2 linked regions of the Drosophila melanogaster genome follow. The protein of the gene in region 1 interacts with the protein of each later gene in a pairwise test. Each region holds a gene or a part of one and is shown on either strand. Other genes may lie near its edges. The genes, in order: CNPYb and CG17549.

Region 1 (4,069 bases):
CCCCACCACATCAGCATCGCCGAAGAGTTGGAAACGTACTTTGCAAACTTCAAGCGTTTCTTACAGCGCCTGCCAGTTCCTCCAGTGGCCATTACAATGGCCCATTCCGCTCAAGATGACTACTGCCCCCAGGATCAGGTGGCATTCATTGAGGAATGCGTTCTACGCCTGCTTAAGGAGGTTTTTGGCGAAAGACTGCACGACAAAGCCATCCTGCACTATATGGACGATCCTTGGGATGTGATGAAGCTCTAAGCTTATGGATAACTAGGGGTTCTTTCGCCCGCCACTGCGAATTAGATTCTGAATTTACAAAACTCGTTTGGGCGGGAAAACTCCACGACTAAAAGATACCCGTAGTGATTTCGAATTAGAACCTAATGATGGAAAATCCAATACTAATTATAATAATATTTTTTACTTTGAAATATACGCGAAGTATTTATTACAGACAATTAAACAAACTCATTTAATGCAAATTGGGTATATTCAAAATAATTTGTTTTTAAACTTTGAAAGGTTTCGCGACGAGATACCTTTTAAACGACATATTAGGTGCCCCAGTAAAATCAAAATGTGTATGCACAGATAATCTATATTTAATCGTAAATACTAAATGTTAGTTATAAAATGTACATGTATTTAAGGATAACTCTCTTCCATTCAGTGCCGTAGGTTCCTAGAAAATGCGCAAAATCTCATTTATTGACATGGACATGGCATGAACACCTGAATTTCTGGCTGGGGGTTATGACTGGCCACCTCATTGAGGGCAGTCAACTTTTAATTGTCGACCCCAATTCGTGGCCGAAATCAATAAGCCAATGGCCCCAGGCGAAACTTTCAGTAGCATTCTGTGGCTCAGTCGTTGTGGAAGTTATACAGATTAGCTTGAGAGACATAGTGAGTTCACTTAAGCTAATTAAACACTTTTCGCTTTGTTCTATAGGTGGTAAAACTTAAAATGATTTCCATTTCGAAAAAAAGTAAGATCATTGGAATTTAAGTAACTACTACATTTAGTTTGTCAATGCTTGAGTTCATTCAAAAACTAAAATTTGTGTTACTTTTAAAAATTGCATCGACAACAGCTGCACTACATCTACATTTTTCGACATGGAATTACAATATGGTAGGGATTCCTAGGATATACTTGGATTATTTGGCTCACAGCTCCTCCTTGTCGCCCTTGGCTTTTTCCCTTTTGGCCTTTTTAGCCTCCGGAGGAGCAAGCTGCTCCTTGAGGCATTCCCTTTCGGCCTTTTTCTTGAGCACATGGTCCTCGCAGAGATGCTTCTTCAGTGACTTCTCATCCTGGTGCTTAAAGTACCATTCGCTGATGGTTTCCTCGTACTCCTCCAGTAGGTTTTCGCACTGGGTCTTCATTTGGGTGACCTCCACCGGGGGCTTGTCCCACAGCTCGTAGGGTATTCCCAGATCCACCTTGACGCCCTTGTCCACAAGGCCATGGAGCGTCTGGAAGGTCTGGGACATACCTTTGGCGAATCTCGTGCTGTCAGAGCGTTCCTTGTGCAGATTGTACTCCAACACTCGCTCGCACACGTTCTCCAGGGACTCGAGCAGTCGCAGTTCGCTGCGCCGGTATTCAGTGCGCTTCTTGGGCTTCACATCGTCAACGGAGTATCCGATTTCGATGACGTCGTGCGACTTGCCGGTCTCTCCAAGTCGAGCTTCCAATTCGGTGGCCAGGATTTTGCAGGCTTCGCAGCGGTTTGCGTAGCGAACGCCTTGCTCCTCCTCGGGCGAATCAGCTCCGGCTAACTGCAGGACGACCCAGAGTGTTACAAAGCCAGGCAGTCTTTTGAGGAGCATTTTCACTGCTTGATAAATTCCAAAAAAACAATAATAAACCTGACGTGGAAATGCCGCTCGCGAGAAGACCAGTGCTGCAAAACACCAACAACCGAACGGAACCGACGACTTAGCTTTTTCCCGCCAATACCTTTAAAATAATCTATATCAAATCTATTTTCTTTTTTATGATTTATTATCCTACATACATTTAAAAAAAACTTTTATTTTATTTTATTTGTTTATTAAAACAGAAGTCATGCTTAAACGGTTTATTAAAATTGAATCAATATGGTTTTATTATGAATGCCGAAACATTTTATCTGTAACAAGATGCAGCTTTCAAATTAACGAACCAGATGTTCTTACGTTGTTTAAATGCAATTAAAAAATTCCCATAACATTTCTATCCATTCCAATATGTTCTCTGTTAAAGACATTAAAAATCCCACGATAATTGAAAATTCGGTTAATGGTCGCCTTGTTTTAAAAAACAAACAGCTGGAATTAGTTCAAAGTCCAGTAAATGACTATTGAGGATCGCTGTTTTCGAACTCGGTCTGAAATACGCTGGGTATTTGATTGACCATGTCACTGGCCAGTAGGCTGCGGCCAAACTTTTGAAATGCAGCCGCGTTTAACTTTTTCACAAAGTAACTAGAGGCACATGCAGCTACCAGGGCGGGATTGGGTTCACCCGACTGCAGTGACCACGAGAAGAAGGTGGCCAAAGATCCGGAGAGCAGGTCACCTTGTCCACCGCACCTGCGACCGGAACCGCCGCTAGGCATTGAGTGAACTTCGTTGCAGTGAGGGAGATAGATCTTGTCGTTGGCGCCCTTCTCCAGGACAGTTACTCCGGCTCCCAGGAGGGACATTTTCTGGCGCGCCGCCTGGTCATCCTCGCCAAACAGTCTCTGGAACTCCATGACATTTGGCGTGAGTATGACATTCGGCTGTCCACAGATCAGATTCAGATTGTCGTTGAGCAGAAACAGTCCATCGGCGTCTATGACAACTGGTTTCTTGGTGTCCATGCACAGCTTGAGTACGTTGGATGCCGTCTTCAGGATGCCCGGCTCCCGACCCAGTCCAGGTCCAATAACCTTAACGATTCTAAATTTAGCATTTAATTGTATAAATGTAGCATATACGTATGTAGGTGGGGGGGGGGGGCTACTCACAACGACGTGAAGTCGCTCTAACCAGGGCGCTATTCTCTCCACTGCATCCACACAGTCTAGCACTGGATGCACGATAAGATCGGGACTGTAGGACTTGATAATGGCCGACGCATTTGAATGGCAGAACACATGCGCCAGGTCAGCGCCCACTCTTATCGAGGAAATGGCCGCGAAGTACGGCGCTCCGGTGTACTCCAGGGACCCACCGATCACTCCAATGCGTCCGTACTGTCCCTTGTGCTTGTTGTTCACCAGCTTGGGCACCACCGTCTTGAACAGAGCCAGCAGCTTGGGCAGGTGCACTGGAATATCCGAAACTGCAGCCATCTCTACCGGCGGCAATGGTTTTCTTTGTGGACTGTGCCCGCTGTTTACTATTGCTGTGACTAGTGATGCACATTGTGGTCGGGATTTCCTATCGGTTGCTGCTATCACTGTGAGAAATACTTTGTTCCCACGGAAGCCGTATTATCAGTAGTTAAAGCTATAGAAAATGAAAACATGGAAAAATGTGAGTTAGCTAATTATTCTAAAATAGATTTTTTTTAGTATTTTACTATCATATTTTTGTATTATTTCTTAATTAATTCAAAAACTATTCAATTCTTTAAGTACTCTTCACATTGTATAGTTACACTATACATTCTATACACATCACTTTCAACTCTTTTGCTTATCAATCAAAATTCCCTGCGTTATCGACCAGTAATCGACTTTGAAATTCACTTTCAACCGCTGCCCCGGCAACCAGTGGGCTCCAAAACAAAGAACCATGCGCTTTCGCCCCCCAATTCTCGATTCCCGCCCCAAGCAGTTGGCTATTTTCCGGCAGACTTTCACTTAGGATCAGGCAGCAAATGTCCCACAAGAGATTCTACGTAAAGTTAGATCTGCAGCTCCATGCGGTTTGTGGCTATGTCGATTGAAGTGTACCTGTGACATCAAGGCTCCTTCCATTTTCAGCTCACTTGTCCCGGTGTTTGGCTTTGTTCACACGGATATTTGGAGGCCACCATCAAGACCTTGGGCTACTACTTTCGAACTGGACCCATGGAGCCTCGCTTTCCGATGCT
Region 2 (5,804 bases), on another chromosome or scaffold:
CGTCTGCCGACATTATCACATTTGCGATTAATTACATATATGTATACAAATTATGTTTATAGGTGGGAACACAATGCTAATGAGCTCCCATTGAACTTAGAAAAAACTGCGAGCAAGGTGAAGGAATATATAGAAAAAACCTTGAGCTTCAAATTAAATTCAGGAAGTACTAACATAGAACTATCTAAGTGGTTATGGTGGGTTTTCCAATTTTTGTCAGCATATTGTGGTTACGAAAATAAAAAGTCGGAAATAACAGAACAGAATAATATAGAATCAACTTCAATGAGATAGAACACTTCCGGTCACCTTTGATACGACCATCCGTCCAATACAAAACGAAAACATTGAAACAAATTAAGTAAATCTAATCTAGCAAACTGAATTGTAAATACTAAGCATTTATATACCTAGCAATGCCAACAGCAACGTCAAAATCAAGGTCAATATACAAATGTATATACAAATTTGCATTTTTTTTTTGTTTTGCCTAAGCCAGAAAGGGAGAACGAAACTTTCTAATTAAAGAAAGCTTCGCTTTAAGCCCCCGCCGATAAGAAAGTCCGGCAATTTGACAATAAAATACACGTATATTATTTTTATATTTTATACATATTCAATGGAAGCGGTTTGCTTTGTCAGACCGGAGTAAATGTTAGCCTAGCCACCAGTGGAGGGTCTCCGCCGATCTTTCTAGGAGTGCACCGAATACGAGGTGATCTTTCCGTTGTCGTTGACCGTGGTCTGGGCTCCACGTCGACTGGTTCCGTCTCCGTTGCTGTGGCTGAAGGACGAGACCGAGACGCCCTTGTAGCCACCACCGCTGCCACCACCTCCTCCGGAGCTGCTGGAGCTGGAGAACGAGGATCCACCACCGCTTCCGCCGCCAAAGCGATTCACAATGTTGGGAGAGGCCTGAGAAAGAGTTAAATCAGCCATTTGATTATTTGAGCTTATAACCTATTTATATAATATTTTAATTACTTTTAACTATTCACAGATACAACAGATACTTTAAATGTATATCCACTTTGACCGCACAAGGCAGTTGGATTTCTTACCGGATTGGATGGGCTAATGAAGGCCGTCTGGCGATAGCCATTGGAACCGATAGATCCGGAAGCTGATGCATAGCTGGGTGCATAGCGATGTGAGTTGTAGGATCCCGATCCAGATCCAGACCCGGATCCAGAGCTGGAACTGAAGCTAGAGCTGGTGCCTCCTCTGTACCGATTCTGGCGCACTAGATTGTCGTGGTAGGCCTGTTGAGCGGCGATCTGTTGCTGGATGCGACTGCGCACAAAATGACATTAGAATAAGGAAAAACATACCGTGATACCGTATTAGTGATTGGGATTAGTTAAGGACTAGCTACTTGTATTTACATATCGTTGTCGTTGACAAGAGATGCATCCGCGGATGCATAAGCATTGCCAGCCGTGGCCAGACCAGTTATAGCTCTACAAGAACAGATATATTCAAGCGTTAGGTTTACCCATAGCCCGCCGTATCACTACCCAAAGATCCCAAACAATCTATCCCCTGGATATGATCGATGCTCACTGTTGGTTGGCGAAGTTCTGGGCCAAAATATGATTCGTCAGCTGCTGGTGGAATAGATACGGATCGATGATGCCAAAGTTGGGTGAAGTGCCGCCATAGTCATCGTAATCGTAATAGCCACTACCGCCACCACCACCGGTACCCACATAGCTGCTGTGTCCACCGCCACTGTTATAGCTTCCCGTATAGCCACCGGCTCCTCCTCCACTGCTGGCATACCCTCCGGCGTAACCGCCGGCATATGCTCGTCGTCTGCGGGTCGGAGCCGTTTTTGCTGAAATGGAAAACATCATGTGGATGATAAAAAATATAGAGCTTGAAAGGTAAATTTAAATTTAAATTTGCCTTAATTTATTGTTACTCGTATGTATAGCTTCATTAGCCTATATTATTATTATTACGGAAATTAGGTGCACATTAGTGGGTTCTCTTACCTCCCGATGACTCTTCATTCAGAGCACTCATCACCACACAAATAAGTAGAACCTTCCACATATTTTTATCTGGGCATTTGCGATTGAACTTTGGAGCTGGGGGTGTAAAGAATAAAACAATGGAATCATTAAGAACTGGTTTGGAAATTAGTGTAAGGGAAACTTGTTTGCGAAACGATGCATATTTCGAAGCCTACGAAATTTAATGTTTTTTAAACGGAAGCGCGAATTGATTGCCTGACATATAGACGTCTAGATGGCTTAGATGGCTTAGATGGCTTATATAAGATCCCATCTAGAGGTGGTGCTCACAACTGGGAGCTACTGCCTCATTGCCTCATTGTTGCCGATACTTTCACAGCCATTGTCATTAGCCGCTCGGGGCAGAATCCATAAATCCGCTTGCACAAGCCGGTAATATGCGCGATTGTAACGTGCGGAATAGGGGATGCACTGCTGCCAGTAATCGATTCTTGGATGCCTGGGCGAGGGTCATTGGCTTCACTGCCTCCCCGTTCAACTGGACACGAAGCTAAAGCCTCATAGGCGGCAATTACAACCAATTCATATATATTTCTCTGGCCCAACCCACAACTAATTGCCCTTACACGATTTTCCCATAATGAATTGGCGAAAAGAAATCAGAATCGGGGGCACGGTTTTGGGGGGAAGAAGGCCTGGCCATCCGCATCGAAAACAAAAAACCCCAAAATGTAAATTAATGGATCTCCATATGACTGTGTATATTATTGACTCTCAATTCGGCAAACGAGAGAAAGAGAAGAACGAACCAGTTCTCACTAATTTGCTCGGAGTTTAGAAATGTATAATGAATATTTCAGTTTGTTTTGTTATATTATTTTGATTTCCCCCCATTTGCCAGCCATCTGTAGTATATTTTCGATGCGCCATTTATATTCCAATCTGTCCAACGTTTTGCTTGTCATTTCTTACAAAAGTTTATTAAGTTGGCATTAAGAGCGGGGATTTTTGTTCGCACCAACAATTGTTGCGATCTAATTGAATAACTTTAAGGCTCAGGAGCAACCGGTCTAAAGATGATTTATAATTTTTGTTAATACACCAAAATATTAACAATTAACAGCTTTGTGCACGGCTCGCTTGAAACAAAGGAACTCGACTGAGTAGCACTCCCGATGAACGAACGTGTTTTGTCATTTCGCCCCTGACTTTGATGATCACCGAATGGTTTTAGTACGAGTATGAGCTCGCATACAACATCATTAAAATCTCGCTGATAAGAGCGACTAATATTAAAAACACTACATACACTTCCCAGTACTAAACCAAAACTGCGCAACGAATTGGCAAAACTATCGATGTTATATGGCCGTGATCACCGGGAGAGGGGATCGATTTCCATATAGATAGAGATAGAGAGTCCCACCGCAAGATAGAGATACACAAACACAAACACTGCGAACTCACTCACTTGACTCACTTGATTTGTTTATGATTCGGCGTTAGGTTCTTGACCAGTTTTTGTTTTTCGATTTCGGTTTCGGATTCGGACTGGGATTCTCTCGCACTCGCCGATCTTCTTCACCGATCGACAACTGGGCAACGTCTGAGTCGAAACAGGTGGGCCCAGGTCCTCTTATAAACGATCGGACACCTGTGGACTGCCCACGATAATGATGACGAGACGACTAGAGAGTGGAAACGCTTACCGAATCACTCGAATCGGGGATTTATTATAAGGTCTTCTAACTGGGATGCTCACTGGCCGAATGATTATAACAAAAAGAAATAACTTTAATTTTTACTTCATTTATAAAATCATTTCATTTTTATGCAAGGCTTAACTATTTCTCCAATCCATTTTGGCCCAATTAAAATTACCTATATTTATAGATACAACATACACAACATTGTAACGCAAAATGATTCAATATTTATTTAACTCGCTTATATATACATATATACTTTCATATCAACTCGTTTAATCGTAATCTAGTAACAGATTTCATCTTAAAGTACTCGAATGTGTGTTATAGTTGGTACATGATTAAAAAAAACCTTTCACTGGGATCAATGTAGTTGGCCATTATACCTGATTATCGAGAGGCAACACCAATTCCAATTTAACTTGGTTTTCTACGCGCCAAGCGAACGCTTCAGTATCGAAGTCAGGCACTTGGTAACTAGGTTCTAATCCTCGGTGGTAATCCTCCTCAAAGCTTGGACTGGGCCTGCGGAATGATTACGTCACGCCACCAGGAGGGTCGCTGGAATGCCCCCTCATTGGTCATAAATTCGTTCTGCAAGTTCTCGTAGAGAAGTCCATCCGCCCGGGCGATGACCGAATTCAGTGCGAAATCGGGCGGCGAAATGGCATCCGCTACGCTCACGGCCACGTCTTTCAGTTTCAGGCAGCTGTCCAGCAGCAGTTGACGCACTGCAGCCGAGAAATCCCGCCCAGCCGCAAAGCCACCCACATAGAAGGTGGTCATGTGCTTCTCCAGCAGCCACATGGCATACACGTCGAACAGCAGGCGGAGTACGGATGCATATGGCGCCTCCACTGTCAGTGTACTAACGTGATCCACATAGCGCGTCAGAGCATAGTACTCCGCGTAGGCCAGGGACAGTTCCCGAGCTCCGGCCACCTGGGAGTTGTTTCTCGCCTCGAACTTACTGCTGCCCGCCGCCAGCTGACCCTCGATGTGAGCTGTGGTCTTGGCCATCAGGTGACACAGCAGCCACTCGTAGCACCTAAGGGAGACTGAAGGAAAACGAACTCTTTAATCAAACAATCATAGTACCTTAATAATATTTTATCTCAATTTAACCACCAATTTAGAAAATAGCTCATGAACGTCTCTCTAAAAACTACTAAGATACTTTTTCTATCTTTAAGTTCTAAACTCAATAGTTGTTGAAATTTGAAGGACATCTATCTTTTTTGAAACATTTATGACTAGGAGGCTCTTATCTACTTACACTGCCAGCTGGCTATTGGAGTTTTCTGCGCCAAGGACGCGTAGTTGAGAGCCAGCAACTCGCTTCGGCGCTCCAGGAACTTCACACTGCCAATGGGTGTCTCCAGTTCCTTGGCGCTCCACTGGCGAAGCAGCCAGTTGGAGGCCTGTTGTCCTAGGACGTTGTTATCGCCCTCATAGGTGCACAGTGGGTCGTGGTCGGTGCGCATCTGGCCAAGCTTAGCTGCTTGCAGATAGCCATGTCCTCCGCAGGCCTCTCGCGCTTCCTGGATGGCATCCCGTGCTGCCCAGGTGATCAAAGGCTTCGACGACGAGATCAACGCGTGGATCTCCGCAGCATTCTGGGTCTAAAATATGGCTTTCATTAGATGTGCTATTAGCTGCAATATAAAGATAACCCACCAGAACATCAAATCCATTGGAATCCGCCTGGGAACGCGCTATGATCTCCATATAGGTGCTTGTCAGCTCTTCAGTGGCAATTTTTTGAACGCAGGCAGCCGCCAGATAGGGAAAGATGCGATATTGCTGCGGATGGATTATATATATTATTCACCAATCAAAATCATAAAATATAATGAACAATAAGTTATTCCAACCCATTCAAATGGCAGAGTTATTTGACTTACATGCAGTTGATACTCCAGAATGGCCATTTCCTCGCCATGACGCTCCGGGCCAAATTGCTTCCTCACTGCGGAGTAACGAACTGCGATTACGGCGGCACTGCACAGAGTATTGGCCGATTCCTGCATTATGCCAATGCGTCCGGCGGAGAAGCTCTCGAGTGCAGCCCCAAGGACTTTTCCTGGTTCGGTGAACACACTTTCGTAGACCCCCTCCG

What was found.
Region 2: the proteins of CNPYb (region 1) and CG17549 interact in a two-hybrid assay, tested with the Drosophila melanogaster proteins (one large-scale study listed by BioGRID).

The regions. Positions count from the first base shown.
Region 1 is NT_037436.4:19,094,310-19,098,378, forward strand, and holds CNPYb (canopy b), read right to left. Parts: upstream 1,909-4,069; 5' UTR 1,834-1,908; coding exon 1,168-1,833; 3' UTR 581-1,167; downstream 1-580. Other genes in the region: MESR6 (misexpression suppressor of ras 6), read left to right, coding at 1-255; Naxd (NAD(P)HX dehydratase), read right to left, coding at 2,343-2,918, 2,997-3,323; CG14079 (uncharacterized protein), read left to right, coding at 3,854-3,901, 3,960-4,069.
Region 2 is NT_033779.5:19,386,477-19,392,280, forward strand, and holds CG17549 (uncharacterized protein), read right to left. Parts: upstream 3,600-5,804; 5' UTR 3,460-3,599; exon of another isoform or gene 3,451-3,459; intron 3,324-3,450; exon of another isoform or gene 3,289-3,323; intron 2,094-3,288; 5' UTR 2,059-2,093; coding exon 1,998-2,058; intron 1,838-1,997; coding exon 1,564-1,837; intron 1,461-1,563; coding exon 1,386-1,460; intron 1,294-1,385; coding exon 1,062-1,293; intron 916-1,061; coding exon 694-915; 3' UTR 574-693; downstream 1-573. Other genes in the region: CG17544 (uncharacterized protein), read right to left, coding at 4,193-4,743, 4,962-5,307, 5,363-5,488, 5,590-5,804.